Linked DNA regions of Drosophila melanogaster. The protein of the gene in region 3 interacts with the protein of the main gene of each other region in a pairwise test. Each region holds a gene or a part of one and is shown on either strand. Other genes may lie near its edges. The genes, in order: Liprin-gamma, CG6923 and Orc4.

Region 1 (9,653 bases), 2.4 Mb from region 3:
TCCACAGCTGCAGTTCCTAGCTTCCTTGCTAGGCTGTTGGGGTGTACATTAAGCCTTTCCATATATTTTTGGGCGATGTTCTGGAGCTTGTCTCCTAATTTGGGCACCTTGAGGTCGCGTTCGATGTCTCTTGTTCTCATATACCAAGGAGCCCCCGAAATTCTTCTTAAGGTCTTCGCCTGTAAGATCCGGATCTTATTAAGGTGACTCTTCGCAGCAATGCCGTATACCTGCAGGCCGTAGAACAGGCAGGGGGCCAATATGGACTTGTAAATATTGACCTTGCAGCCAAGCGACAGTTTGTTGCGTGGTGCAATGAGCCAAGACATCCGAGCAACCTTGGTCCTGAACGCTTGCTGAATATTTGTGATGTGCCTGCTGAAGGTGAGCTTCCTATCGAGGGTAATACCAAGGTATTTATAAGCCTGATGGTGTCTGATCAGTCTCCCATTCAGACTGACACCCGGACAGCTACCTGTTCGGTTGGCGAACGTCACATTGGCACACTTCTCAGCGTTGATGCGCACATTCCAGTTCTCAGCCCATTGCTGGAATGCATCCAGGTATTCCTGTAGACCAGAAGTGGCAGCCAGGATACTTTTACTTTTCGTGAGCACAGCAGTATCGTCAGCGTAGGTGGCTATGAGCACATCTTCTTCGTCTACCTCTGTGACTGGTGTGTGAGTAGGCATGTCCGAAGCAAAAACTGAGTATAGGGTTGGGCCAAGAACGCTTCCTTGAGGAACTCCAGCTGCAATTGGCTTGATTGATGATTTGTACCCATCAACAGAGACGTGGAATGTGCGTTCTTCCAGGAAACTTTTAACAACCAAATATAGCTGCGGCGGGAACAGCCTCTTCGCTTTGTACAGGAGCCCAGGGTGCCAGACTCTGTCAAATGCCTGTTGAATATCAAGAAAGGCACCTACTGCATACTCCTTGTTTTCCATAGCTTCCAGAGCAAAGTTCACTACTCTATGTAGTTGCTCAGGAGTACCGTGCTGCAACCGGAAGCCAAACTGAAATTTGGGAATCGCTTTGGTAACATCCTTGCATGTGAGCAGCCTGTTTAGGATCAGCCTCTCCATAATTTTACCCAGAGATGGGAGTAAGCTGATGGGCCTGTACGAGTCAACGTCTGTCGGTGTTTTTCCAGTCTTATGGATCATAATTATGCTCGCCGATTTCCAAGCTTTCGGAAAGTAGCCAACATCAAGAACGCTGTTGAATATTAAGACAAGGAACTGCAATGCTTGATCTGGGAGAAGTCTAATGGTTCTATTATCAAGAAGATCTTCTCCAGGAGCTTTCTTAAGTGGCAGCTTGGCTATTAAATTCTTCACTTCTTCCAGTGTGACAGCACTCGGAGGCAGGCTCATTTGAAAGGGCGATTCCAAGTATCCATGTGTGTGCGTCTGTGGCTTTCGTTCTTAAAATGGGAGGTAAAATATTTGAAATTTATTGCCGTTGCCTTTGATTCAATGCACACATTTATTAATTTATCATTCCATGAGCCGGAGCTCAGGCTCTAAATAAATCAAAGGCTTGAGATGGAAAAGATTTAAATGAATTGGCCGAACAAATGGCCAATAAGTTTTGGCATATCGATTGAATGTCGGCCTACAGAATGCATGCAAATTAATGCAGTATTTTGTGCTGAGCAAAACCATTCGAACCGACTTGATTGCACAAACCACAGACCAACGAGCACACCCCAAAGTGCCATAATGTCAATGCCCGCCCTAGGGCGCCACAACTCGGTGACAATTGACATTGGCAGTGACAGTGACTGTGACAGTGGCGAACGGAGAAATTCAATGAAAATTAATAAGTTGAATTAACAGATTCACGCCGCGAGCAGCCATCGAAATCCAATCCGCCGCACACGCCAAGTGGGAATTTAATGGCTCAGTGCCCTCAATGCCAAATGAGTGAGTGACTGGTCATCCTGTCCGTCCTGACATCCATCATTAAGGTCCTGCCCATCTCAACTCGACTCGCTGAGCTGGCTCAGCTGGCTGAGCCTGGATGCCGTCTGCTAGCCAGCATTCAATTCGATTACCTGCAAGCGAACACTTTATTTCCGAAAGGCTAACTTCATTGACCGTACATATCCTGCTGTGTGACTCATAACATGATGACTAAACCCAGCCATTCACTTGAGGGGAATGTCAGAGAGCGAAATTGCATTGACCTCCTTTAAAAACCCTTCAAACGCAATTTTAGTTGAATTAAAAATGAACGTATAAAGTTACTTAAATAGGTGTCTAAACGTATGCAGTTTAAATAGAATGCTGAGTATTTCCATTCACATATTTGTGAACTTTCGACTCGAAAGTTAGAATTTTTTCCAATATTTTTCCCTTTTCGGGCTAGAAAGTTTTCACTGCGCTGACCGTTTTACACTTGCTTTTAGCCCTAATTTCCTGTATGACTCGATGGTTTCGCCCCCCTTTCTCAGCCAGAAAACTTCAATGGAGCGAGAATGGAATGTGTGGGAGCTGCACAAATTACAATTTGAGCCAGGGCTCCTTCTCGGGGAGAAGGGGAGCCACATAAACCAATCTCCGCCCCTGTTCTTTGCCAAGCGATTTCGCTGCAATCTACATCGCCAGTAGAATGCTGCTCCTCCTTCGGCCGCAAAACTGACAGCAATCAGCTTTGCTGTGGATAAAGTTTTATGCCGAGAAACTCATTTAGTTTGCAATTAATTAGTGGCAGCCGGCAGAGCAGAGTTGAATTTGTGTTTTTAATTTGACTAAATAGATGCACCACTACCGAACGTTGGAGAGCTTGCACAACACGGCGAATGGTGGTGGGGCGTGGTGAGTGGGGCGTGCAGGATGGGGGCGTGACGAAGTAGCATAGTTCTGACTGAGTTTTTCGCTAGGCGTGAAATGTAAATGCTTGACCCAATTGGCAGGGGGCGTCTAAAGGGAAACACAACGAAAAACAACCAACCGCCGACAACAAAATCATTTAAAATGTTTTCCAACCGGGGAAACGGCGAGCGCTAAAACTTTTTCTACGGCGCTTTTGGCGAAGACAACTTGAACACAATTTGATAACCTACATTTGGGGGTCTTGGTAACATTAAAAATTTACACATGACGGCGTGGCCGGGGCGTTGGGGGTTTTGGCCTTACTCGCAGTGCAAAAGTGGAACGGAGTGTTTTCTCAGCGTCCTTGAGCTCTTGTTTTTTATTTGGTATTAAGAGCATGTCAAGTGAGTCTGGCGAACACAGAGGCTGAGGCAGCATGGCTAAGTGAGTTTTCGTTGTTGCTCCTTGTCACAGGAAACGGATGTGTGTGTGTGTGTGTGTGTGTGTGTGCGTGGTTTGGCTTGAAGCGAGAGGGGAAATTGTGGCGGGGGAGGGGGCTGGAGTAGACCGTCCCCGGAGGTGGGTAGCAAAAGTCTTTAAGTCTTTCGGCTTAATAGCTTTCAGTTTGCGACTTTCCTGGTCACAGCCCGACCCGATTCTGGTTGCTTACCCCTTCTATTGTCCCAAATCCCCATCATCATTTCAACCCCCTTCCTGGGTGCCGTGAGTTATTGTCGTGCGATTTATTACGCGACGCACTGTTGGTAGCCTTTGCTGCCTTCGGAGGGGGCCCACATGGCGTATGCGTAACGTATGGTCGTGGTAAAAACTCACGTAATATGCAACATTTACCGCCCGCGGTTCTCCGCCGGTTCCTTTTGATTTATTCAGCCAGGTGGCATACTTTTGACCCATATGGCTTTGATTTCTTGAAAAACTCAAAACCACCAAACATACCACTACCAAGTTAAAGTTATTACTAAAAGTGCAGTCACAGCTCCTTTGATATATGTCAGAAGTAAGCCTATTTCGTTTACGAAATGGTTTCTGCATTTTCTCTCTGTGCAGGTAAATATGATTTTCGTGTCTGGCAGCAATTACTGATGTTGTCATTAGTAAGAACACCACTCGGAAATTAATAAAGATTTGCACAGGCGCAAATCGGTTTAAAAATGCGTGCAAACACTTTGATTATTCATTCACAAAACCCAAGCGGCCCGAAATTCCCAAATGAGATAGTGCGTAATTCGCGACTGACACAGATTTTTCCCTATTTGGCTGTTCGCTGGTTTTCCTTTATATTTGCGCACAGAAACAACAACAAACAGAGTGACACACAAGTTCCAAAAAATTTCCCTACTCCACGCACACTCGCACAAATATTGACCGAATTTTACTGGCGGTGGTTTTTCCCCCCCAAAAATTCGATTGTTCTCCGCAGTGTTTTTCTTGTTTTCGGCGATGCTGTGTCTGTCTGTTTGTTTTCGAAAAATTTACCTCGGATTCTGACTGAAAAAACAAGAAGGCCACATACCACGTGGCCAACAGTTGAAGTCAATGTTGGTTCTTTTATTTTCGTTTTTTTTTTATTTGGTTTTTCTGGCTTTCTAATTTGTTAGACACGCTTTGGTTGAAAGTTTTTTCGGCTATGCTCTTGTTGATTTTGATTGAAACACACACGCACACCAGCACACACTCTCCGCGAAGAGAGCAGGACAGAAAGAGAGAACGAGAGCGAGACCGAAGGATATGTGGGGAATAATTCAATTCTGGCGCTTGGAACGTCTCACTGGGCGAATCACTCGAATGGCACTGAGCTCGAGTCCTTGGCATTTGGCCCGAGTGCCGTTTTGGCGGCGTCCATGTGACGTCACGAAAGCTTAGGCACAGCGAGATGGGAAAAAGGATACAAGAGCGCCCATGCGCATTGGCGAAAGCTCGCAATCGCTGGAGAAATAGCCACCAGGGATCTCTCGAAAACCCGACCTAGCCTTGCCTTGGACAAGTGTTTGTTTACGTTTTCCATCCGAACGTCCCGCAAGAATCCTTTCGAATCCTTGTTGCTCCTCCGCTCCCAAAAACGAAGGTCAAGCTCTGGCTCTGAATCGCAACGACACCACCTCCGTTTTCAATTAATCAGCAATATAAATTGTACTTTGTTTGGACGCCACAATACATTTTCCCCGCAATTTAACTTGGACGAAACAATTTACAGACTGTGTGGTTGGGCCACACAGCCCGATTTTACTCTAATGAAATATCTCAAGACCAAAAATGTCAGTGGTTGCAACTGTTTGCGACAGGCGGGGAGTTACTATTTCAAAATATGAAAAGCCTCAAAACAATAAATGAGGATGAAGTGGGTAAATGTGGGGATGTTGCGCACTTTGAGGTTGCCAACGACAACTGCAGTCTGCATGCTTTCCTACTAATTGTAAAACAATCTGACTGTACACTATCATTTGCGGCAAAAATTGACAAAGGAATCGAAAGTATGTGAGTATTGCACTCAAAGCTGAACATGTATAATATGATCCCGACAGCAAATGCTCAAATTATTGTGAAAAGATTTAATGAACACGTGCAAAATATTTCAGCCAAAGAAATCGCATCGCCTCATCTATGAAAATTGATATTATTGTTCTCTCAATGTGATTGTAACGAAAATGGCATTTTCATTTAAAGTCTAAATGGTTTAATTGAGTTTGAAAGGGCTTAACAATTCTGACAGCTGTGATAAAAGTGGCTTTCTGATTCAGCTTTGCAGTTACATTTAACTGGAAACATTGATTCATAACTGAGTTTCATATTAAAGTGTTATTTTTTTGCCTCTTCTGCAATCCTTTCAATTACTACCTTTCGATTGGCTTGATAAACAAACCTATTTTCCCGCATCGCAACTATGCAATTCAAAGCGGAATCGATTGCCATATCAACGCGTAAGGGTGGAGTAATCCGAATGAGAGCCATTGCAGTGCATTATCCTGAGCTCACAGGACTTGAACCGGATAAATCCCTTTACCGCTCCGTGCCAGAGAGTGTAGTGTCATTCATAAGCACAAGTGGCAGACGTGACTAGCCGCAGCCACGTAGAGGGCTTTGCACCTGACTGAATCGGTCCGATATATCCTATATACATCCTCCTGCCATACCCCTCCCACCCTTCGAACCCTTCGCATCCGCAAACTCATGGACACGGCCACTGTTTGTCTTTATTTTGACTGACAATCATTGTGGTTGCCATCTGTCTGCCTGCGGAAATGTGAAGTGCAGCCATGAGATAACCGCCATCATCTGATGCTAATAAAATGTTATCAAATGAATGTCAAGCGGCTGCTGAGCCCATCCTGCTGCCTTTTTTGTGGCTCTCCTGGCAGACGCCGCCATCGGTGCCAGGATATGTGTATCTGATATCCCGAACAATGGCGGCAGAACAAACGCACACACGGAGGCGCATCGATTACGGTGCTAGTTCATTCAACTCGGCTCCTCCATCGGAAAAGGCCTAGGATATATGGCAAAACTCCGACTCCCTCGACAAAGTCAAGACAGAAGACTTCCCGCCGAGAAGAGGCGGCGGGAGCAGCACTATCTGCCACAGGTGACGCGTGAAAAATTCCACAAGCCATGGAAGCCGAAGGAAACGTCTCTGCCATGCAATTCTTCCCTTTTGTCGTAACTCAACTGCCATTGACAGCCAAGTGTCCCACTGACAGTCGCCGCCCCCAGCAACCCTCCATTTACCCGCTTTTCCATTTCCCCTTGCCCACTTTTCCAACCTGCCGCCTGCAGAGCTGCGGAAAATCAACTACGACGACCTCAACCTTAAGAATTGAGCCAGATGCAGTGAGAGAAGAATCTAAGATTGCATTAGGAGCAACTAAATTTCTACTGGCATCGTTATAATATGATATCAAGATCTAAGCGTGGGGGCTTTCAACATATCATAGCAAATTCCAGACATTTTGAATGCATCTACATGTTGGTGTAAAGATAATGTTCCATACTACAGGACACCCTTACTTTTTTGAGGTGTATTACAAGTCCCGGCCAGCGTTTTGTCAAGCCAACCAATTGTGGGGACGGCATAGCCATTGTCACTGCCTGACATCCACTCCATCCCCACCTAAAAGGGGGGAGGACATGAGACGGGAGTGCTGCGAAAGAAATGGAGTTGCGGTGCCGCGTAGAATGGGGATGTTTATCAATGCCTTGCGCTTATCGCCGACAGCCGCCGCAGTCAGACAAGTGGAAAACTATACACGCCCAGAAAGCAGGAAAAAAATGGGAGTAGAAAATACATAAAACAGCCGGATGCGTTGGCTTGACAACTTATTTCAACATCTTGTTGTAACTGTTCGTTGTGCGCTTCCTATTTTCATTTATCGCAATAAACTTTTCCGCAGATGGCACTGCAAAAAGTTAGCAGATGGAAAGTGGAGAAGTGGAGGCAGTGGGCTGCTGTGGGTGGGAGTCGTCGCCAAAGTTTTCCCAATACTTTTTGAAGCCTTTGTTGCTGCACGGCCATTGTGTGTGCATATGAGCAAATATCTCATTGCAAAATATTTGCGTGTACTTCTTATACAATTCTTGTTATTGAATTCGATCAGAGTTCAAGGATGGCCAGATGCGAATATGCCAAATTGAAAATGCATTGAATTTTAAGCCGATTGGGGTCCAAAGAAACCACTCAACCTAAATCAGCTTACAGATGCATTGATTACCTCAATTAAGATTCCAGCCCTGGCTGGACAGTAATGAATCGAATTAGTATGTAAATGTCCAGAGATAGAGAGTGGATGGTCAGGGCAGCAATTTCGCAATTTCGCTAGGATTGTGCTTTACACTATTTCCTTCTTTTATACCCGTTACTCGTTGAGTACAAGGGTATGATCGATTTGTTGAAAAGCATGACATAGCAAAAATCTGACTATTAAAACCAATTTAATGGAAATGATAAGGCATTTCATTTCTTCTTTTTTATCTTTATCCTCTCCATCTGATTAACGGGTATCCAATAGTCGCGACACTCGACCATAGCGCTCTATCTCTGCTCTCTCTCTCTCTCCGTTTCCGGATGTTGCTAAACGGTTTATCGCACTTGCCACTGCAATCGGATGAGAAGGAGTCTGGAGCGGAAACGGCGATATATTATTAATGTCTATTATAAGGCAGGCGAAGCCAATGCGGCGTATGCGCATTTTTTATATTTTTATTTCGTTTTATTCCTTCGTTTTTATTACGGTCCTGCCCCAAGGCAACGACACATTTCTGCCAAATGTTTCTCCATTTATCCTTTTGGCCCTCCCATCACGATTCCCTTTCCCCTATTTTGGCCCCCGCTTTTTGGGGCTTCCCCATGTTGTCCGGGTTTTATGGCAAGTTGCGAGTGCCGCGTCCTCAGCATCGCTTAATAAGTTTTTATTGCCCCAACTCATGCCAAGTGGGTGGCAGACGGACGTGTTCCAGCGGCGGTCGACCAGATAATCAGCGCCAGTTTCAATTTCAATTTCAGATGGCCACCTGGCCACGCCCACCAATTAACGCTGGCGAATTTGCCAAATACTCAAAGGACCCTCGGGTTTTGGTTCACATTGTCCTCGAATTGCGTGCAGCAGTTGCATGAAATTGCTTCCCGGTAAATCGCTTTCTGTATGCATTAATATAATTTGACATGGTACTTAAAATTCCTTACAATCTGAAATTTGACACATGCTCGTAGAGAAATGGTATAAGAGTTCTTTAATAAAATATGATCTTGAGTTAAAAGCCCAGATGCTTTCTGTAACATCATCATTTGATTATTGCATTGATGATTATTTCTGCGATACTTGTGCATCAGATAAAACATTATTAGTTTGATATTTTATTTTGAAATGTATGACAATCGGAGTTTCAATTTTGTGTTTATGTGCCCTACCCGACATGGTCTCAAATCAACTGGAATATCGCAAGCAGGCCATCATCTTTTTCAGCTCCCTTCTTTTTTATTCATGCCAGAATATTTCGCTCATATTCGTATTTTTATGGCAAAGGGACGTGCTCCCTTGAACAGTTTATGTATGAGTTGGCACGGCCATCGATAAATCTTCTTCGGAAGTAAAAAATAATAAAAAACGAAAACAAGTTAAGCTACTTTTGTCATACTAGTCGAGGCTGGGAGAAATAACTTCAAGAGGAAAAACGGAGTTGGAAAAACACGCTTCGCCGGAGAGAACAAAACGCAGCGAGATCAAGATTGAAAAACTAGTTGTATGTTGGAGCCATTCCATGATGTTGGTTTTATACTTCGGAGAAATTTCTCATTTAATTGGAGTCTCTTGTTGCGAACATAATCGCCTAAAGTACACTTTCGCAGGGCTTAAAATAGCAAAGGCCACAAGATTGATTTGACGATTACCAAATAGAAAGGAGACATGATCCCAGCTTATTATCTGAATTATTTAAGGCTACTTGATTCGGATTTTTATATATTTTTTGAAAATAATTGTTGCAAGTACACTTATCCAATTCACCTTTATTATAGATGAAATAGTTTTTTTCATATAGCCAACTATTTTAATTGAATCAAAATGTTGACTCCGTCTGAAGCAATTTTATTATAGCTGTTCCCTGAGAAATTTAAACCCACTTTAAGCTCCCCTCTCCAGTAAGTAGTACCAGCTAATCCGCAGCTTCCTTGTCGTCATTTAATCTTTATGAATACTTTGCCCTGCGGAACGTAACAATGTAAACTCTTCACCGCCGTAAACCACGAAAAAACGGGAGTACGTTGGGAAACCCAGTGGGAAAGATTTCCGATGGCTTTGTCTCTGGCAAATTGCAGCCGTA
Region 2 (12,610 bases), on a different chromosome or scaffold from region 3:
CATCGCCTTGGCCACAATAATCGGGGATGTACATTTGTACGAGTATGACAACGAGGCTAACAAGCTGCTGCGCACTATTGAGGTTCATTCCAAAGCATGCCGCGATGTGGAGTTCACAGAGGATGGGCGCTTCCTGCTCACCTGCTCCAAAGACAAGTGCGTGATGGTCACCGATATGGAAACGGAGAAACTAAAAAAGCTATACGAGACGGCCCACGATGATGCCATCAACACGCTGCACGTTCTGAATGAAAATCTCTTTGCCTCGGGCGATGATGCCGGTACGGTCAAGCTGTGGGATTTGCGCACCAAGAACGCCATCTTCGAGCTAAAAGAACTGGAAGATCAGATCACCCAGCTGACGACTAACGAGCAAAGCAAGCTTCTGCTGGCCACCAGTGCCGATGGCTACCTGACTACATTTAATATATCCGCACGGAAGATGTACGTGCAATCGGAGCCGTACGAGGAGGAGCTGAACTGCATGGGGGTCTACCGCGGTGACTCCAAGCTGGTGGTTGGTACCTCCAAGGGTCGCTTGTACACCTACAACTGGGGCCAATTTGGGTACCACTGCGACATGTATCCGGGCATCAAGAGCCCCATTAGTCTAATGATCCCCATCACAGACCGGATTGCTTGCGTCGCCGGAGAGGATGGAAACATTCGAGCTTGTCACATCGCTCCGTATCGTAATCTCGGCGTTGTGGGACAGCATAACATGCCCATCGAATCGTTAGACGTGAATGCCAGCGGTGAGCTCATCGCATCATCCTCGCACAACAACGACGTGCGATTCTGGAATGTAAAGTATTTCGAGGACTTTGGAGATATCAAGTACAATGAGAAACACAATGCCTACAAGGAGCAGCGTCACAATCTGCCCTCCTCAAAATGCAGCAATGCATCTGACTTTTTTTCCGACTTGACCAAAGAGAACGCGGATGGTGATGATGATCCGGGCGCTGGACCCAGTAATATGGCCTAGAACGATATATTTGCTAGCAATGATTTATAGTTGGTGGGTCAATGTGAGGCGATTCTACAAACACTTCTGTTTACATGAATTAATGCAATGCTTAATCTAATGACTTTTATGCAGTAGTGTATATTCACAGATTTATTAATAGTAAATGAATGAATTGACCCATCAAGATAGAACCTCTTTGAAACCGTCAAAACGTAGTAGCTACCCCAATCCCTAATATGTTGGACGAAGATTTTACACAAAGTTTCACAATGAAATGTTATTGATAATAGAACTGATTTAAAATAAAATATGTAAACCCCAAACAGAAATAAAGGTGTATCGTATTTTTATCGGTGGAATAAAAATCAACAGACGTTTATTGGATTATTTATTGATTTCTGCCGTCTTAGACAGCCAATTTTTAAAAGTTTTAGGAAACTTTCTATAATATAAAACCAACCTTTTTAAAATATGTTAGCTCAAGATTTAAAAAATTGCATCGAATCAATTCACTTATATATGGCACGTTATGAGATATTGAGCAATAATCCGTAATCTATTAAATTAAATAGATGTACTATATATAATTTGGTAATAGCAAAGACACTAGAATAGAATAGAATTATTCTAGGGTCTTTGGTAATAGAATAAAAGATTATTCTCTACATTTTTGTGACTAATCAAAACATAACAAAATTTGTTAAATAATGAGAGGAAATCGTCCAGATTTTAAGTCCTTCAAATAATTACTCAAGAAAAATGCAAATTGCCAAATCGATTTCTAATCGGTTAAGTTTAGGGTCCGATGTTATATTATTTTGTGTGATCATTAAAAATATAACAACAAGCTGGGGTCAAAGTTATCATATACGCCCGTCGTGGGAATTCTATACTATAACAATATACGCATATTTATGAAATTCTTATCACAAGAATTTTGTTTCACAAAACGTAGACAATTTGTACATATGTATAGGAAATTATTTGCCGAATCACTTAATATACTTAGACATAGAAATTGAGCCAAACAAATTTAGCTTTTTGATATCTTTCAGCGCAACACGGCAGCAAGCTGTGGCAACTGCCTTTTACATACGTTGCGGTGGGTTAAACATTTTAAGGTATGTATATAGGGGTTTTTACGAATATTTCATTCTTTGTTCTTGTATCGATGCATGCCGAGAACAAACTCAGTCTGAGGGATTTACATAAAGATGCCGTGCACACAATGTCATAATGCGGCGGAATTGGCGGCATCTGGGACTCCGCTGGAGCTGGGGGGAAGAGCGTCGTTGGGCATGTGTGTTTCGATGTCGACGCGACAAATGGGGCAGTGCTTGTTGGTGACTAGCCACTGATCCACGCAATCCGTGTGAAATAGATGCATGCACGGCAGGCGGCTGCAATTGTTATTTAATATAATTAGAGAACTTTATAAGGTAACGTCCACATTGAACTTACCGAACTTCGTTCTCTATCTCAAAGAGGTTTAAGCAAATGGCGCACTTCTCGGCATCCTCATCGGTCTCACTGGGTCTTCGGACGCGTCGATATTTGTGAGGCAAGGTATTCCGCTCAATAGTTTCCTGAAATAAACGTAAAAACTAATTAATATAAATAGGTATGACTTTGATTTCTATACGGCCTTACCAAAGTAGCTCCCCGGTTTGGACGTGATGGTGCGATAAGGATACGGGAGCCCAGAGATAGGGGGGCCAGCCCAATCTCCAGATGCAGTGGTGAGTAGTGGTGATGGAACATGTGGTGGTGTATGGCCCGCTGGCGCTGCATATGCTGCATTACTGGTGGCGATTGCTGAGCCTGCGGCTGCTGTTGGGGCTGAAGCTGCAGATGTCGCATACTCGCTTGTGCTGCCACGCTACTATTGCCAGAACCGGATGTAGCAGGCGACTGTTGTTGAGGAGATGGTGGAGGAGCAGCAGCTGCCGGTGCAGCGTCGTACGGCGGATAGTAAGCGGGATCCAGGCTTGATACGGGACCGTTCCGAGCATGAACACAACTGCAGATGCTATGCAGGTACCCGTTTCGCAGCGTGCTCGTTAATAGCGGAGCATTCGAAGAAAGATCGATAGGTGTGGGCGTCATGTGGCGACGGTGCATCTCCTGCATGCTTTGCTGGCGGTACCACAGATTTTGATGGACCGGATACGGTGGAGCCGGCGTCAGCGAGGTGGCCACTATGGCGCTGGCCCGGTGAGGGGGATGAATGTGGGCGTGCATCTGGTTCTGCGGTGCCTGGTGACCTTGATGCGGCTGCGGCTGATAGTGCTGTCTATTGCTATACGCAGCTTCGGAGCGTCGAACACTGAACGGCGGAGATCCGCAGTGCGGAATGGTGCTCCGTCCGGAATACATTTCAAGCGGCGGTGGTGGAGAAACAGCTGCCGCCAGGTTTGCATTTGATGCCACTCCTGGCGCTGGCGGATTAATGGATTGCCGCTGCTGGTGTTGCGCATGCACCATTGTATGTGGAGGTGTCCGGTTGCCTTCCAGGGCCGCAGCACGTCCCTCATTATGGGCCTGTGATAGCAAATCACTAAAAGTTTGTGCCTGTACCGCCGCCGCTGTGGCTGCCACTGCAGCCGCATTCAAAGCTCCACTCAAAGAACTGCGACTGCTTCCGCCTTGACTGGGCTGAAAATGAGGATGAGGGTGAGGGTGAGGCTGGAGACTCGGCGGGTAGTCCGACTCCACCACAGTTGGCAGCGTTGTTATCGCATAATAGTACGGATGGTAACGATGATACACGTTCGCCGGGCTACTTCGCCTGTGGCGGGATTGCTGCGTTGATGTCTGCTCGCTGGACGAGCTGCTTGGAGTGGATGTAAGATTTCTTTGCTGATGACGTAAGTATGCCTCAGTGGAAGAGTTGTCAGGCAGCAAAATTGGGGGCATCGGGGGCGGAGGTGGCGGGGGAGCGGGATGGCCTGGCATCCACATCGAGGATTCGTTTATCGGAAGGAAGTAGCGCTGTGGATCCATGTTGGAGCAGCGGGGCGGGTAAAAATTACCGGGGCCGGGATCCATCAGCTGGTCTAGCTCGTAGCTGTAATTGTGGTCCGAAATGGCAGCCCGATCAGCTAGAGCGCCACTATAAAATGCGAATGCAGAGGTGCCCTCATTATTCGCTTCTGTACGACGATCTGTCCTGCGAGCATAGGGGAATGTGTAAGCACAGTCATACATGGTCCTCCTATCCTCATTTGGATCCTCCGGGTTGGGTTGAGTGTCATTACGATATGGTTCCCGATCCCTTGCTCGCTCCCGTTCTCTTTCACGGCCCCTATCCCTATCCCTCTGCAGTTGCGTATCATTGGCCAAGCCATCGTCGTCGGATGTCAAATCGATTGAGAGTATGGGCTCACGAGTGGAGTGCACAAATACTACGTCATCATCATCATCGTCCGATGACCAATCATCCAGCTGCAAGTCTGGTGCCGTCAAGACTACGGAATCGGCGCGGGTCTCATGGCTGCCACGTCTTCCCGTGGATGTGGACGGAAGATTGAGATCCGCGGCGGGCTGACTATCTCTTGGCCGGCCGACGTACGTAATCACACAGGGCCCGTTCGAATTCGGCGTCGAGGATGGTGGAAACCGCACATGATGTTGCCCAGAACTGTTCCCTTGCTCCGCAAAGGTTCGGTGTCCTCTCCTTCCAGGATAGAACGAATTAAAATTCGTTGAGGACAGTTTGGAACGCGATCTTCCGGGCAGTTCCATGCGCGCATGTTTCCTAGGCGGCACTGAGTCGTCAGAGGGCCGCGCACGACTCCATGACATTCTAGACTCGCCGGGAACACCGTACATACTGTGCATGGGTTGGCCTGGTGACTGCTGATGACGCCGTTCTTCGTGAATAATCTCCTCCTGTTGTTGGCGCTGTTGCTGCTCCTGTTCTTGATCCGAGCTTGTGGACGGTGATCCTGTTGCAGCCGACCTTCGACCAATGCGAGATCCATAATCCACGCTACGTGTAGTATGGGTGGCCGTGGAGCAGGAGGCTGACCTAATGTAGGTACTATCCGGTGGAGCTCCCGCCACAGCGCACCGACTATTATAGTAGTTGTGATCCGTATGACCTATCTCGGCCTCGTCGGACCCCCTGCTACCACGGATAATCGTTACTGTGGGCTCAATTGGTGGAACGGGATTATGCACACGCAAATCCCAGCCATCATCGCTGCTCTCGTTTTCCGGCTCCAAAACCCTTGATTTGCGATAAGAAAATTGACTCATCTGTCGCTTTCTCGATTGGGCACTCGTGCTTGGCGTGGCATCCGTATCTACTGCTCTGGAAGAGGTGTTGGAGGCATTATTGGAGCGGCTGGCCTTCTTCTTGTGAGCCTGAACGGCAGACGTAGTCGTCGTGGTGTTGGTGGTACGCGTATGAGCAAACTGGCCGTGCTCCGTGTCCGAGGCACTCGATGTCACATCATCGTAAGCATTTACGGCACTTGGGGCGGTTTCGAAGGAGCTGTTGCTGAGCTGCAGCGAACTAGAGGGGACCTCGTAAACGACCGCCGTAGAGTCCATAGCATGCTCTTCTATAGCACCGGCAGGCCATGTGCCGCTGACGGACGCAACCACCGCGTCGCCGTCATTGTCACTCTCTGGCTCCATTGTCAGGGGTTCAGTCTTCTTTCGCTTGGGTCGTGGAATGGAATGAACAGCGGGCGGATTGGCGATCGCCGCTGTGGAGGATGAGGGCTGCTCCAAGAACTGAGCCTCCGAATGCGACTGGTTCTGTGTGGAGTCCGCATAGCGACTGCTACTGGCCACCATCGATTCGCAGCGGCAGAGTCCGTCCAGCGAACTGCACTTGTCACACCGCCTGGCCAAGCCCTCAAATCCAGAACTCTCTTCGCGACGTGGCTCCACCATGGCGGTGTACGTGGGCGGCGAACGGGTGTGGCTGTGGCTCTGCGAACTGGACAGGAAGGGCGTCATTAGCATGTAGCCCTCCGAATCCCTCTGCTGATTATAGTACATCGCATACTGGGAATCTGCAAAAGCACAAGAGGATTAGCACTATCTGGTTCCAGATGATGGCCAGCTTACGGTTTTCCTGTCCACCCGAACTGGTGGCCACACTGCCGTACGCCAAGGTGACCCTCGGCTGGTGGTGCAGCTCCTCCTGGTCGTTCTCCAAGCTATCCATTTCAGTCGTCTAGTGGGCAACGTTACCAGAACGGCAAAGGTGCGTTGCAGCGCATGCAGGCCAAAATGCGCTAAAATTGTGTATATGTACGAAAAAATGTTTAATTTACGGGTATGAGGAGGTACAACTGTCTAACAGAGACCAGTTTGCTTTTTTTGTCCGGAAACAGAAACAAAAACAAGCAGTGGGTTAAGTATTTGGGTTCCAAAGCTATTGCCAGCTATGTACTCTAGGTACTCCAAATGGAAATTCGGGGCTATTATTTGCACAGTTCTCGAGCGAGTAAAAACGATTTAAAGCTCAAAATAAAGTTTGAAGACGGAAATTTTTTCTTTGCTTGTCAAATACACACTCTTTTGTCAGCACCACTTTTCCGTCAAGTTTTTCATCGCCGTTAGCAGGAAATTCCAAAGCTACGTGGGGAAAACACAAGCGCCGCAGTGAAAAGTGAAAACTTTTTATCGGATTCCATGCACTGGGATGATGGGGGTTTCCACGGAAGCTCTAAATAACTTATGACAACTTATTACTAATTAAGTTCAGCAGTTCTTTATTTTAGCCAACGCAATAGGGATGAGCGTTGTATCGATATGTCAGCATATCGATATGTCTAAGCTGATATTAAGCTGATGCGTTTATTTTGTATTAACTTAAATTAAAATTTACGAATAACATTCAGCTTTAAGTATATTGAATGTTTCGATACTATTGACTTCAATTTGGGGAAAACGCCAAATCAGCTGTTCGGCTGTGGGCAAACTATGAACAGCTGTTCAATGATAACAAATGTCCCCAAAATAATTCTTACCTCTATTATATGTGTAACACAGAAATATTGCGATTTTGGTAATTTTCTTAATTCCTAAAGCCGGGATTACGCGAATAACCGGGTGGGGATTTCCGATTGGGCAAAACAAAGAGAGTGGGTGGTGGGGGTTGGCAGGCCAACAGCTGCTATTGGGGAACACAAGGGAGTTTAAATGCAATTCTTTTCGCGGGGGCGGGGGACTATTCTCATTCGCAGCTGCTGTCCGGAACAAATTTACATTATGCACATGCAAATTTGCGATATATATGTTCTCACGATTTAATCATTTTGTATGTGTTACTGGATTTTATAGCAGTAACAACACCGAACTGAAATATTTAGACAACTTTTTCTTCGACGGTGCAAAAACTTGCAGTTCGGCGATGATGGCGATACTATCGCATAGAAGCTAGCTAGCTCTTTCGTAGACTAAAGTTGCGCAGTATGGCCACACTGATAATTCAAATATTTTGGCACTAAATATACCGTTAGAAACTATACTACCACTACTTACCACTGTTTAGGGAAGCTTAATATATACATACAAAGAAACTCTTAGTTGGAAAGTTGCGAATCATAATTATCTGGTTTTTAATGTTAATCTTAATTAAACTGTATTACATTTTCTAGTTTTGCTATCACAAACATAGTTTCCTTCATTTTCTTTTCATGTAAACATGGGAATAAGCCCACAATGCTGGCCAATCAAGAATAAGACATTCGTGTTTTTGTGCCGGGGCATACACGAAAGAAGGTCAAAGAAAAAGACACTTTCAACGTATTATACTCTTCCCCATTACCACAATCAGGACGAAAACCACAAGTACGCCTTTTTCCATGTGGAAAACGATTCTCGAGTTTTCTTCATTACAATTGGGAGAAGCCGGCTAAACAATCTCGATTGGTTTCTAGTGGATAAATGGGGCAAATTCATTCGAAATGGGACATCAGTCTACGATTACCACACGGGCTTCGAGTGCGTGTACAAAAGGATCCATTTCTTGGAGAGACTGCTTAAAGAATGCTTGGCTAAGCAAAATTCCACGCAAAGGAACAGCACGAATCCCGAGTTGATGGTTCTACACTTCCCGGAAACGAAGGCACCAACCTACCACATGGTATCCATTGGAGACAATACGCGGTGCTTGAACTGGGTTATCTGCCTGCTGGGACTGGTTATACTTCTCTGCTGCCTGAAATAAATCCATATGCACAGCACAAGCCTTAACATATCATGTATTTAGTGTTTTTATTGAGTTTTTATATGTATAAAACAATATCTACTCTTTCTTTTATTGCTGGCTTCGTATTCTTTTCTCTTGGCTTTCGTTTCCAATTCTGTTTAGCCATAATTTTAAAACCAATTCGCTTCATACAAATATTCCTTGATTAAATCGGTCAGCTAATCAATTATCTGCAGGATTTCCCCATATTCTCGTTGGTGTTCATTTCTCGAAAGCTGCGCTGACCAGTGTAACGACTTAAGTTTAACCATTGGCTTAACGGACATTTTCTAAACCAAGGTGCTGTTTGTTTGAGTGTAGTTTTATCGGATTTTAAGCAGCGCTGCTTGTAAATTCAACTCATAGTTATTATTTGTTTTTTTTTTGTTTCGTTGCGAAACACTCCTCACAGTTTTACAAACAAACGAAAGCGATAGTTTCCACTTCAATACTTCAGTTTCAGTGCAACTTTGATTGCTTCTGTAGGAATTCATTGCATGAATAGTATAAATTATTTGGACGCTGTTATTATTATTAGCAAATGTTCAAAACTTTAACCAAACCCAAAACGAGGCCGTTGGCAACTTTTTTTGGCAGCAGCGTTTTGAGCTAAAATTATGAACAATCATTTATGATTTCATATGTCTGCATTTAACTTTATTTTTTGTGGTCAGTTTAATTTTTCGTTTATTTTGTTTTTGTTTTTTGGAAGTTTTTCGCACAAGTTGCTGTTGGTTGGAAAAATAGAAGAATTGGTGTGTATGCAGCATGCACTTGACATTGATTTCGTGGGACGTAAACAAATAAGGTCTGTGGAAAATGATACTCCTCTTATCAGTAGATTGAAGTGGTTGTTGATGGCACAGCGTCATTTGATAGATAGATTTCTTCAGGTGCATTTACATTTACATTTTATATCACAATTTTTTAAATATTATAGGTGTATGTATTTAACAAAATTGGTTTGCGTGTTATTATTTCATTTACGCCCATCAAAACGTGTTGAGCAACTTGCAATGTCAAGAGTGTGTTCGATTTTTGCCCAGTGTAGCTGGCCTTAGTGTGTATGGATGTCAGTGTAGAGAAGTGTTGGGGCTTAATTAAATATATGTTTCAGTATTTTTTGAAATAATTAACTGTACGCATGTAAACTATTTCCAAGCAATTGGCATATACACGTTACAAAACTATAAACTGTAACAAAAAATTACCTTTATATTGCAGTTTATCTTGTGTACGTGTCAATTTCTTTGAAATAACTTACTAGCGTTTAATTTTTTAAGTGTAAATTTCGATTCCAACTAATTGGCGAGCGACTCGAAATTTTGATAATTCAATTAACTTTGTAAAATCAACTTATTCTTGCTGCCCGTTTATCCTTTCCTATAACAATTTTTGTCATGAGAAATAAAAACATACTATTCAAATATTAACAATTTTCATATGTTGTACATGTTGGTATTTGGAACGGGCGTTGTAAAATTATCATCATTTTGAATCAAGAGGCATGAACAAATTTTTAAGAGTACTTAGTATTTAAGCAATTTCACCAAAACAGAAAAGTCGTAAGTGTTTTATGCATCTCTTGACCAAACACTTTTCGTATTCGTTTTTATTTTTCATAATAAAAAATTATACTGCAATATAAATTACAATTTTTTGAATCTTTTTTATAAAAAAAGGTATTTGTTTTCTGTTGTTTTCATCTCGAACGACTGTTTGGCTTGCTTCAAAACAGCGTAGACTATTGCCACTCTCAATTTCCCTCGGTTTCAGTTGGTTTCACTTCGCAGTCGCTTTCTCCTACCACAAGTATTCATCATTTTATTATTATCGTTTTTTTGTTTTTTTTTTTTTTTTTTTGTTTTTGGGGTTTTTGTTAACTCTGTTTGCAGTGGCGGAATCAATTGAATTTAAATAGTTTGCATACACTTTTGCAATAAACGTTAGCTTTTGAAAAGTTGCACCAAAAAGAATGATAGAACTGGAAAGTTGGTTTTAAGAGAATGTGCGTGAAAAAAAACAGAGTTATCTGTCCACAGTGGACCCGCTTAACCACTGGCGGTGGCCGGCTCGCAGTACTCAGACAGATCGTTGGCCCGCTGCTGCTGGCGCAGGCGCCTTTGGAGCAGTACACTCTCGCTGGGCGGCGAAAGGCCGATCCTCATATCAGGCAACTCGTCCATCAATTGGGCCGCCTGCAGGTGGGCGAAGCGTCCACTGCCAATCCGCGGCTGCTGCTGGACACGCTGACCCGACGAACGGTTGTGCCGCTGCTGTTCCGGTCCCTGGTTCATCCCGCAACTGCGGGCGTAAACACAATCCTGACGCCAGTTGCGTATGGCCGACTGCTCGTCAGATGGCGGAGATCCGCCGCTGCCGCTACCACTGCCACTGCTTCCGGCGCTGTTGTGCCGCGGAGGCGGCTGCATTGGTGGCGGCATTGGAGCAATCTTGTAACCAGCGGCACCGCCGCTGTGCGAGAAGCTCCCCAGGTAATTGCGCTGCTGGTTGCCATGGTGGCCACCGCCGCCTCCGGTGCTAAACGGCGGGCGATACTTGCGATAGTCCGCTGTCGGCTGCTGTTCCTGCGAGTGATGGGTGCGATAACGCCAGTTTTCGGTGTGCTGCCTCTGAGGAACTTGATCCGCAAGCTGGTAGCGTGGCACAATGTACCGCTGGTGCTGCTGTCGCTGCTTACGAGTGTAGGCATTGGACGGCAGCTGTTGCTTGCTGTGCTCATGCAGATTCTCCTCGTCATCGTAGTCGTCGTCCTCGTCGATATCGGCATCCTCGTCGTTCTGATATGCATCGGGGGCAAAGTTAACAGTGCGGCCGGTCTTGCTGTGGTGACCCGCGGTGTGGGATAGGGCTACAGGCTTCTCCTCTTCCGCTGACATGCCAAAAGTCGTTTGCATTGTTGTCCCCTCAGCAGTAGTCGTCGGTTTGGTCACGTTCGAATCATCTTCCTCTGGGTTATCGGTTGGTGGGCGTGTTGCTGATGCTGCTGGTGTCGATGCTGCTGGCACTGCCGCTGAGTTGACAACAATATTTGCAGTCTCATAAATTTCAGGTAGCTTTTCATTTAAATCACTAATACTATCCAATAGTTTAACATCATCATCTTCAATTGCATCGCCAGTTTGCCAGTTGTTAATGTGTGTTGTAGTCATAACTGGTGTTTGCAGCTTGTTATTATCGGTGATGGTAGTAGCACTAATATCACTTGATGGTCCTTGCTTCTTAGCCCCATCAACATCATCCTGCTGTTTTTCCTCTTTCTTCTCCTCATCCTGCTGCTGCATTATCTTATTCTCCTCCGTCTGCGCATCGTTGCGCATTATGGTGAGCTTAGCAAATTCGCTTTGCTGAGTGTTTTTCTTCATATCCATATTATCCATAATAAGGTCCTCCCTTATATACCCACCGTTATCGTCCTGTGGCTTCGATTTCTCCACATTGGTCTCGCCAACTTGCTCCACGTAAGCTTTCGATAGCTTTAGATTGTCAGCTTGAGTTTCCTCCTTTGGTTCGTCCTCGAACTCCTCTTCCCCGAATTTATCATCGACGCGCTGCTGCTGCTCATACAGATAGTCGTCGCCCTCTTCCTCGTCTAATTCGCGCCAGTAATGCTTATAGTGCTGATAGTCCTCATTCTCTCCATCCTCATCATCTTCCACTTCGTCGCCTTCGCTTCCGCTCTGACGCCTAAAGCGATCCTCGCCCAGCGTCTCACACTGCTGCTGATATTCCCTCCTAGACCTGCTCCACTCATCATCATCATCGATGTGGCCAAAAGCCTCCAGACCTTCATCGTCGTCATCTTCCTCGTGGACGTTCAATGTCTTGAAGCCCCCGCTATTCGGATAAATTGCAGATGCATTGCGAGACGCATTTCGGGAAGACCGACGGCTATTGGCCCGCTGGCCGTGCATCGAGGACATACGCCCTCCGTAGCCGCACAAGGAGGAAGCGGGATTGCGCTGCGAGCGATTGCGAGTGTAATGACCCGGCGGCTTGGGATTGTAGTTTTCATCGCTATAGGCATCCATGTAGGCCTGCGATGGCTGGTAGATGTTGGGACGCTCTTTCATGTAATCGTAGCGCATCGAGAAATGCTGTAGGACCACACGCTTGACGGCCATAGCAGATTCGGCAAACTGCGAGATTTCCCTTGCCGACTGGTGATTGCTGCAAATTTATGAAAAACATCAATTATTTCTGAAAATCAACCGTAATATTTTCTATTTAATTACCGTCGGATGTTACTGGGCGTTTGCAAAGCCTTGTGGCGCCTGCCATGCTTGCTTGCCGGTGGCTCCTGCTCGCACATACGAATCCATGGGTGATTCAACACTGCCTCGGCACTGAGGCGGTTCGATGCCTTCTTGACAAGCAGATTAGAAATTAGGTCCTTGGCCTCATCG
Region 3 (8,781 bases):
TATACACGACAGCAAAATATTTCAGTCGCGCTTGGGCAAAAGGCTTAAGCACGACTCCCAGTCCCCCCTTACATTTGTCTTCCTAAGCCCCTGGAGCCACTATCAAACTTGTTCTACGCTTGCACTGAAAATAGAAATTAAAAACCAAAGTAAACAATCAAAAAGACCAAAAACAATAACAACCAGCACCGAGTCGAACATCAGTGAGGCATTGCAAAAATTTCAAAGTCAAGTTTGCGTCGTCATCGCGTCTGAGTCCGATCAAGCCGGGCTTGTAATTGAAGTTGTTGATGAGCCGCGGGATTACTGGATTGTGGCGAATTCTGGTCAGCATACTTAACAGCAGCCCGCTAATTAAGCAAAATAAACATATCAAATTCCAGAATGCGACGGCGCCATCATCCTGTTTGGGAATTCAATTCGCGGGCAGATCGTTTAATTCAATTAAAAGGTAGAAGTCGGTAAAAGGGAGCAGAAGAATGCGATCGCTGGAATTTCCTAACATCACGGACCCCATAAATTTGATAAGCCCGAGCTCGCTGCGTTGAGTCAGCCACCCCACATCCCCAAATCCCCGCCAAAAGAAGACAGCTGGGTTGTTGACTCGCCAGATTGAGGTGCGGATTGCAGTGGAGTGGACCTGGTCAAAGAAGCACCGTTAATGTGCTGATTCCATTCGATTCCATCCGGGAATGCGATAAAGAAAGGCTCTGATCCAAGCAACTGCAATCCGGATTTCGATTTTCTCTTTCCATTTGGTTTTGTATTTACGTACTTATGGGAAAGCATTCTAATGAAGACTTGGAGAAGACTTACGTTATATTCAGACCATCGTGCGATAGAGGATGAGTCATTTCCATATGGCCGAAATTTATTATGTTTACTATCGTTTTTAGAGGTGTTTTTTGGACTTACCAAAAGAGGCATTTGTTTTCTGGGATTATTCAACTGAAAAGATATTTAAATTTTTTCTTGGACCATTTTCAAGGTTCCGGATATATTTGAAACACACTAGCTAGCAGTGTTGGTAAGTTACATGTATTTCTATAATGTCATATTCCTTTGTCCGTATTCAAATCGAATACTCCACATCTCACAGGATGTTGTACTTGAGGAATTGGCGATCGTAGCGATTTCCCCCGCCGTAAAGTTCCTGATCCTCGTTGTTTTTGTACATCATAAAGTCCGGATTCTGCTCGTCGCCGAAGATGGGAACGAAGCTGCCAAAGCTGAGAGTCTGCTTGAGGTGCTGGTCCGGACGGCGTCCCAGCTGGATAACCTTGCTGTACAGATCGGCATCTGCCTGGAGGGCACGATCGAAATCCTTCCAGTGGACGAACTTCACCTGCTCGCTGGGAATAGCGTTGTTGTCAAGCAGCTCAAGGAGCGTATTCGAGTTGACGGGCTGCACCACGTTAAGTTCCTGCTCCTTCGCTGGGGATTCCCCTGCGGGTAAGCGCCGCTTGCTTGGACTCGTTTCCAAATCCCATAGCCACGCCAGCAGAGGAGTAACAGAGCTCTGAAAACAGTTCATGGTTTAAAAATATCCTTTAAGAAAGCCCATGGGTATAACTTACGTGCTCACTGCGTCCTATGCGAGGAATGGTCTTTAGGTTCTTTATGGCAAAGTTCTCGCCTCGCTTGCCCAGCCGCGGTACGTTCTTGGTGATCTTTAGGAAGAATCCTGGACTACTGTCGTCTGCCTGGCTTATGGCCACAAGACCCACCAAGAGCGAAACAGACAGGACTGTTATGATTCTCATGCTGATGCGACTGAAGCTTCACCTGACTCCTGCTCCACAATTGGTGGCCTTTATATAGCGAGATCCACCCGCATCTTGCGTGGAATAGAAATGCGGGTGACTCCAGGAATTAGCATTATCGATCGGAAAGTGCAAAGCAGATAAAACTGAACTAACCTGACCTAAATGCCTGGCCATAATTAAGTGCATACATACACATTACATTACTTACATTTGTATAAGAACTAAATTTTATAGTACATACCACTTGCGTATGTAAATGCTTGTCTTTTCTCTTATATACGTTTTATAAATTAAAATTAGTTTATTTTCCCAAAACAGGGCTTTACCAACTAAATGATTCGGTACAATTTTTTTTAAATAAATAAATATACAAAGTATTTCTGATCTGCTGCTAAATCAGAGAGCTTTGCGCCCACTGAGCAACCTCTGTGGGAAGGGCCTGGTATCGCTGCATACAGTGGTGAATCTGGCTGTATGTCAGCGCCAGCTTATGCATCTCAAACTCTTTCTGCACCTTACCTACGCCCCCTCCAGCTCCACCGGTGAGCGGCATGATCAGCTCTGCGATGCGTAAATGCTCGAAGGCCTTCAGGACAATGGACCGCTCCACGGCCTGCATTGTGGTGGACACTTTGGCAAACTTGGAAAAGCGCGCGTAAATGATCTCGAAGTTGAAGGAATCGCGATCGTAAATCTGCGAATGGTGCTTGATGGCGATGATCAGGCACAGCTCTAGGACTGAGAGCCCGCAAAGCAGCTCTATCTTGTCGTCGCCCTCAAACTGTGATCCCACTGCAGCCATTTTTTCGGCTGTGATGTGGGGAGATTGCGGTCGGAGATGTGCCACCAGGCGGAATAGGAAGTTCTTGAGATAGGCCTCGCTAATGTCGAAGTCATGGAGCGCTTGGAGGGTGCTTCTTGCCTGCTGAGTGGCCAGGACTTTGCATATTTGCTTGTTCCAGGCATCGCGTAGTCTGGGCGAAAAGCCGTACTCCCCGGGGTCAAAATGGTTGCGGGAGAAGTAAAGTGCCCCCGACTGGATGTTTTGTAGGTTATAGATTTTCTCCGCCGCCAGCAACAGTGAATTGCCGGTCGGGAGGGACAGTAGATCCCTGCACAGGTCAACGTAATCCTCAAAGCGCCGCAAGCTGGGAAAGAGAAAGACCTGCCGGTGCGAGAAACGCGACTTGACCCGCTTCTCCAGCAGCTCGATCACGTCGAGGCGACAGGTAACGCCAAGTACACAGATGGGCGCCTGGGCTGACTGGGAGACGTCGAAGAGGTTGTAGAGCAGGGTCTGGTTGTGGTGAGCACAGAAGAGGTCGAACTCCTCGAGAATAAAGATCACGCTCTTGGAATGCTTGCCACCCGCCTTGAGGCATTGCAGCAGGAAGGCGAGGTTCTCGGCGAACGATCCGAACACTTTCCCATCCGCAGCGTTCTCCAGCTGCATCTGCACAGTGATGGACTTCAGGGCCACTCGGTCGTCCGTGTGCAGATTACCGTCCAGGTGGACGATGAGAGTGTTTTCCCCGAACGATTTATTGGGCAGCAAATCGGCCAGCACGGAGTTGATGAGCTAAAGAATTTGAAAGCATAGATTACTGGATTGGTTTCCCGGTAAGGCCTGCACTCATACCGTTGTCTTTCCGGATCCCCGCGGCCCAAGGAGCAGCAAGGAGTTGGATTCCCCCATTTCAGCTGTGCGTTGCAGCAATAGGCGCACATTGGACCGCTCCTTTGCGTAGCCCCTCAAGGTGGTGTAGTCTCGCTGGAGGCGCTCCTTCAGGAAGCGCCTGATGCTGACCAGCTCCCTATCCGCCTCCGGCATTTTCGCTCTCGGATCGGAACTCCTTTATTCCTCCTTATTTATTAGTTAAATGGACGCACAGATAGTTTGGATTTCTGCCAGTAATTAAGTCGCGCCAAAAAACGTCAACAATGCATTGGGGATGGAACAAAACCGATATTGGTTCATTTAATGTACGGTGGTTTGGAACTCTGATACTACTCAGTGTTGCCTTAAGCCGCCTGAAAAATATATTCGTGCCACAAACCAATACGATCTAATTTCTGCGGCTTTAGCACATTTTGAAATATCAACATTTTAGTTCATACAAAATGGACCTACGATTGAGGAATATGTACAATAGTAACTCTATAAATAACAATCAATTATACATATAAACATCTTTAAAAATATGAACAAATTTCTTTATTAATCGCATAGTCGTTGGCATTTTGAGGGTCAATTTGCTGGAATAGGTTTATTTGGAATGCTGTGTATTTTAAATGTCCATTAAAATAAGTTATTAAACACTCAATGGATTCTCAGAGATTATTTAATATCGGCTGGCAATTTCATAACAGCAATGGATCGAGTAATCACAATTAATAACTTTTGGAATGCTTCAGCTTTTGGCACTCGGTATTGTGGTTATTGTGATCCAGACCTCTTTAGGAATGAGCGGATTGTGGACTTTTCTGCTGATTTTTATGTCTCCGATGGCAGTAAGAATCGAATGCGTATGGCTAATAGATGGCACTATAGAATAATTGATATCCAAAGATCCGAGGACACTTCGAATTCAATAATGTAGTCTGCCTCGTGCGCGACAGGATGTTTATGGACTTTGAGTACTGTTACTTGAAGTCCGTGAACCGCACCTACAAGTACCTTTCGCTAAAAACAAAGATGTTCCGCCTGCCCGTCGACAACTGCGAGGTAAGAGTATAGAACTGTGTCGGTCTCACACCACCCGACCATCTTCCAGACCAGATTCCAGCTGAGGATGCGCGAGAACAGGCGAGTCCTGTACAACTTTGATTTCAAGGTGGACTCCTGCAAGTTCATGCGCGACCGCAAGCACGTGATCGCCAACTGGGTCTACCAGACCTTCGGCCCCTACTCGAACCTGAACCACACCTGCCCCTACGACGTGAGTGAGCGTTGCCATGTTCATGCCGCATAACCTTCGCCTTTCTCACCCACCCACCCACAGCACGACATCGTGCTCGACAAGCTTCCCGTGCAGCATCTGAACAAGCTGGTCCAGTCGATCATCCCCGATGGCAGATACATGATGAACAGCACATGGATGGTCGCGGGCATTCCGCGCACCGATGTCATCCTATACTTTACCAAGAGCTAAACAGTCAAATCCAGTAATATCCAGGCTCTTCAACCCGTAAGCAGAAATATTGGTAAGGTGTTATGCCGTTTTAGTATTGGATGGGGGTCAGCAGGACCAATATAGTAAATATAGTAAGTCTAAGTGGGTCTGTATGTGATGTATTTGTCACATTACTGAGATTTACGAAAATAAATATAGTGTAGTGACGAAAGTTAACTTAAACATGTACATAGGTTTCAGACTAGGCCAGTTCGTAAGCGTTAACAATTATGTGCAGAGTTTCTGCACAGGTGGCTGGCAGTGACCTGGATGCACTGCACCTGTCGTCTGTCAAGTGGCTGCTAATGCGATTAGGGAGCACACAGAAAACGGGATTGGCACTCGGGACTGGCAACTCAGCTGCCAATCAGGTGGGCCAGCCACAAACTTCACACATTTCGGACACATATATCAATCCACTCCACAACCAGAAGGACACGAAGTAAAGTAAACACAACCCCACACCCCTGACAAGATGCCGGCGGACATAGTGACCACGGAGCAGCTGCGCTACCAGCTCGCCTTCAGTCATGCCATGGAAAGGACGACGAGGCACTGGCAGGAGACCTTCGCGTGGTACCCTAAGATGCAGTGCTGCCATTATCAGCGGATTGACCAGATCTATCTGACGAGTCGCCAGCGGTACGGCGACGGCCACTTCCTCAAGTACGCCAACCGCAGGCGCCTGGCAAAGAAGTTCGTGGTTACCGCCCAGGAGGTTGCGGAAGGTTTGGAGGATCTGAAGATGCTGGAGCAAGACGGCATTACGGGCCTCAAAGTTGCGGTCACCGAGAACGGGGAGTACGGCCGAATGAAGCCCTCCAAGCTGTACATGTGCTAGGACACCCTGTGACCAGCCGGCCCGCTCTGCTCCCCAATCCTCGCCAGAACCCCTCACGATTAAACTATCATTCTCTGCTGACAATGCAACTCTCAATGGCCGTCACTCATTACGCGATTTTAGCATGACCGTGCGCATAATTAACAAGGTGAAAACGTCAGTCCCACCTGCAACTGCTTGCCCCGCCCGCCTCGCCGCCGTAGCGAGTGCTCACTGTACCTTCTCCTACTGGGGCGCAGTTGAAAAGTTCACACAGGTAATTAAGTGATCGCGTCTGTCCACTCCATGAGATGACTTGCCTCGCTTGTTCGGGATCTCGGAAACTGCTTTATGGCGCCCATAAACTGGGAAATATTATGCTCAGTGAATTAATTATAGATACCATGCGAATCTTAAGGATTTCGTTTAGGACAGTCACTTCGCCTGATAACTGATTGATAAATTTACAATTGTGAAATATAATCTGGGATACTGTTTGCGAAAATATAGTTATTTCGGGGCACGCCGCACTGCGAGTTCCTTGATAAATGTGTCCATCGACGCAGCTGCTCCTCCTGCGATTGCAGACGTAAGCCCAGGTGTCGTGGGCCAACTTCGAGCAGTATGATTTAAAAGTTCCATATGCAAATTACCCTCAAAGTTTCCGGCGAGCCCATCCGTCTATCGGAGTGCGTGGTAGATGGAAATGCGAAAGTGGCAAGTGGAAATGTGAACTGTGAAATGGGGAAAATAGGAAATGCAAATGCCCATGCAAGTGTGCAAATTACACAAAGGACGCTAACTTTGGGCCAACTTGCGAACTGGGCCAGCGACTCATTAGACACATGACAGCATTCACAGAGTGGGTGGTGGTTCAATCGGCCCAATGTGCGGGGAAGGGGAGGTGGATCGTCAGGTGGGCAGCGGCAAGTGCGTGTGAAAAATCAGCCATCAGCAGCCCACAGAATCGCCAAGCGCGCAATTAAACGGTAGCGGATAATTGCTATCGAAAGCCATAATGATGGCCGGATCAGTACTTACCCCGACTCCAGTATATGCTTCCATATCTTGATGCGGCTCTCCAGAGGAGAGCTTTGTGCGCCTTTCTCGGCTCTCATTGTTCACCCGATTTTCCCATCAGCATCGCATCGATGCGAACTTTTCGAGACCATCACCTTATTTCTGTTGACTCATACTCCTCCCAATCCAACGGACGGACAGCCTCTGATTTTGGCGGTGCTCAAGACTGAGCAGTGGTGACAGTCGAAAAAGCAGGCCAGAACGAGAGTTGCTGCGCTGTAGAGCTCAAAACAAATAAACACAGAGACACCTACTTGCCATACTTTGCACTCGGGGGAGTGGGTGTGCAGAGAGGTCAGGGGTCAACCCCTTTTCGGGCAGGGTAAACAACATTTGCGGATTTCACGCCAGGGCTCAGACAGCATTGCTGATCCTATTAGTGCTCGTCAGGGGCCTCGATTGACTGACTGGCGCCATGTCTCAGGTCTCAGGTCTCGGTCAGGACTTCTCCTTTCGTACGAGAGCATCGCAGCAAGGACCAGCAAGTCCATCCGGGATTAGGGCGTAGAAGGGACTTAATCCAGTTTTGCAGCGATCTCGCTCGTCATTGCAGGTAGACGGTGATCACGTTCGCACTGGCACTGGCACAGGCACAGGAAAAGCCAAATAAAATAATAAAGAAGCACATACTAAGGCCGAAACATTAAATAAATAAAAGTCAACGGCAGTCGGCAGTCAGTCAGGCAGCTCATAAACGCTCGGCAGCTGACGCCGGTCCCAACTTCAAATTAAAACGCCATTGGCGCTTTGGCACGCATAGATAGAATTGAGACCTGGACTTGGGCTTCAGCTGCGACTGCGACTGCGACTGTGACTGGAACGGGAACTCTTCAGCGCGAACTCCAACTTCAATTCCGACCTGGGTCTGGGTCGCCCATCAAGTCGCTTTGGTTCGCCGCCGCGACTGCCCATAAGCCAATTTGCCAATTTCATAAACTCGGTTTGATTTGCCGCCAAAACACAGAAGACAAAACGAACCGCAAAACAAAACCTGGCTCGCTTCAGTCCGACTCTGAAAAATAAAACCCCAAAAACGCCCCCAGGCCGAGCAGACAAATTCCGACTTCCATTTGGGATCTTTGGATCGGTGGAAAGCAGCAACAAATCATAAGGTGGCCTAGACCTGCGATGGTGTCCATAAAAGCGTCTCTATCAAGGGCCCACTATGAGCCAAGGAAATGGACAACGGGGATTTAATTTTAAACATTGTAATATTCGTAAGTCGACCAGTTTGAAAAGATCTCCAAACATATGACTTCATCCACTTATTACATAGATCCTTGTGGTCGGTATATAGTCCCCATTCTCCTCTCCAAACCGAATTCGTTCTTGTTGGCTACGCCACTGGCCAAATTACACTTATGACCATAATTCAATCAGCGCATTATCAATCACTGTGGCTACTTGTCTTGGCTAGTGAGTCAAGTCAATCGGCCATCGCCTAGCTCGGTCTCCGTCGCACTCTGCTTAGTGCCGTATGGGCATCCCGCTCGCACTTCGGTGTGAAACACGTTTGAAAGTCATTAACTTAAATGATTCACTTTCTGAGCCATAAATTTCGCCACTAACTGGCAAGGAGCCGAGCCAGCCTGTATGCGAAAAAACGTCGACAGAAATGTCTTAAAAAATTGCTAAATAATCGCCTTAAATGAGTCTATAAAAATGAGCACCCCGAGCGGCGACTAGAGCTCAATCGGCGATCTCGCGGTCCCAGTGGCCAAAAACCCACAAGACTGAAGACAGAAGTGGCTCTAAAGTGTTTTCAAAGCCCAAAGTGAATTTTCATTGCCAGCGGAAGTCGTAAATCAATTTTTTCCCCGCCAAAGACAGAAAAATGGGGAAAATGCTTAAGAGCAGTCTCTCAGCCGAAATATTAGGTTTAGGCCTAGAAATCAGAAATCGGGGATGGCGAGGGACAGGGAAAGGAGGCGCCCATTCTGGA

The links.
Region 1: the proteins of Orc4 (region 3) and Liprin-gamma interact in a two-hybrid assay, tested with the Drosophila melanogaster proteins (one large-scale study listed by BioGRID).
Region 2: the proteins of Orc4 (region 3) and CG6923 interact in a two-hybrid assay, tested with the Drosophila melanogaster proteins (one large-scale study listed by BioGRID).

The regions. Positions count from the first base shown.
Region 1 is NT_033778.4:22,350,069-22,359,721, forward strand, and holds the start of Liprin-gamma (Liprin-gamma), read right to left. Parts: upstream 4,641-9,653; 5' UTR 4,320-4,640; intron 1-4,319.
Region 2 is NT_033777.3:11,742,738-11,755,347, forward strand, and holds CG6923 (uncharacterized protein), read right to left. Parts: upstream 7,293-12,610; 5' UTR 6,961-7,292; intron 6,752-6,960; exon of another isoform or gene 6,505-6,751; intron 6,289-6,504; exon of another isoform or gene 6,223-6,288; 5' UTR 6,153-6,222; coding exon 6,053-6,152; intron 5,998-6,052; coding exon 2,621-5,997; intron 2,557-2,620; coding exon 2,432-2,556; intron 2,371-2,431; coding exon 2,202-2,370; coding exon of another isoform or gene 2,175-2,201; 3' UTR 1,746-2,174; downstream 1-1,745. Other genes in the region: CG14722 (uncharacterized protein), read left to right, coding at 1-988; CG43062 (uncharacterized protein), read left to right, coding at 7,638-8,162; Lk6 kinase, read right to left, coding at 10,235-12,374, 12,440-12,610.
Region 3 is NT_033778.4:24,793,696-24,802,476, forward strand, and holds Orc4 (origin recognition complex subunit 4), read right to left. Parts: upstream 3,720-8,781; 5' UTR 3,598-3,719; coding exon 3,406-3,597; intron 3,346-3,405; coding exon 2,158-3,345; 3' UTR 2,045-2,157; downstream 1-2,044. Other genes in the region: ETH (ecdysis triggering hormone), read right to left, coding at 1,094-1,519, 1,578-1,763; CG12849 (uncharacterized protein), read left to right, coding at 4,230-4,277, 4,336-4,491, 4,541-4,705, 4,769-4,918; CG3611 (uncharacterized protein), read left to right, coding at 5,415-5,780.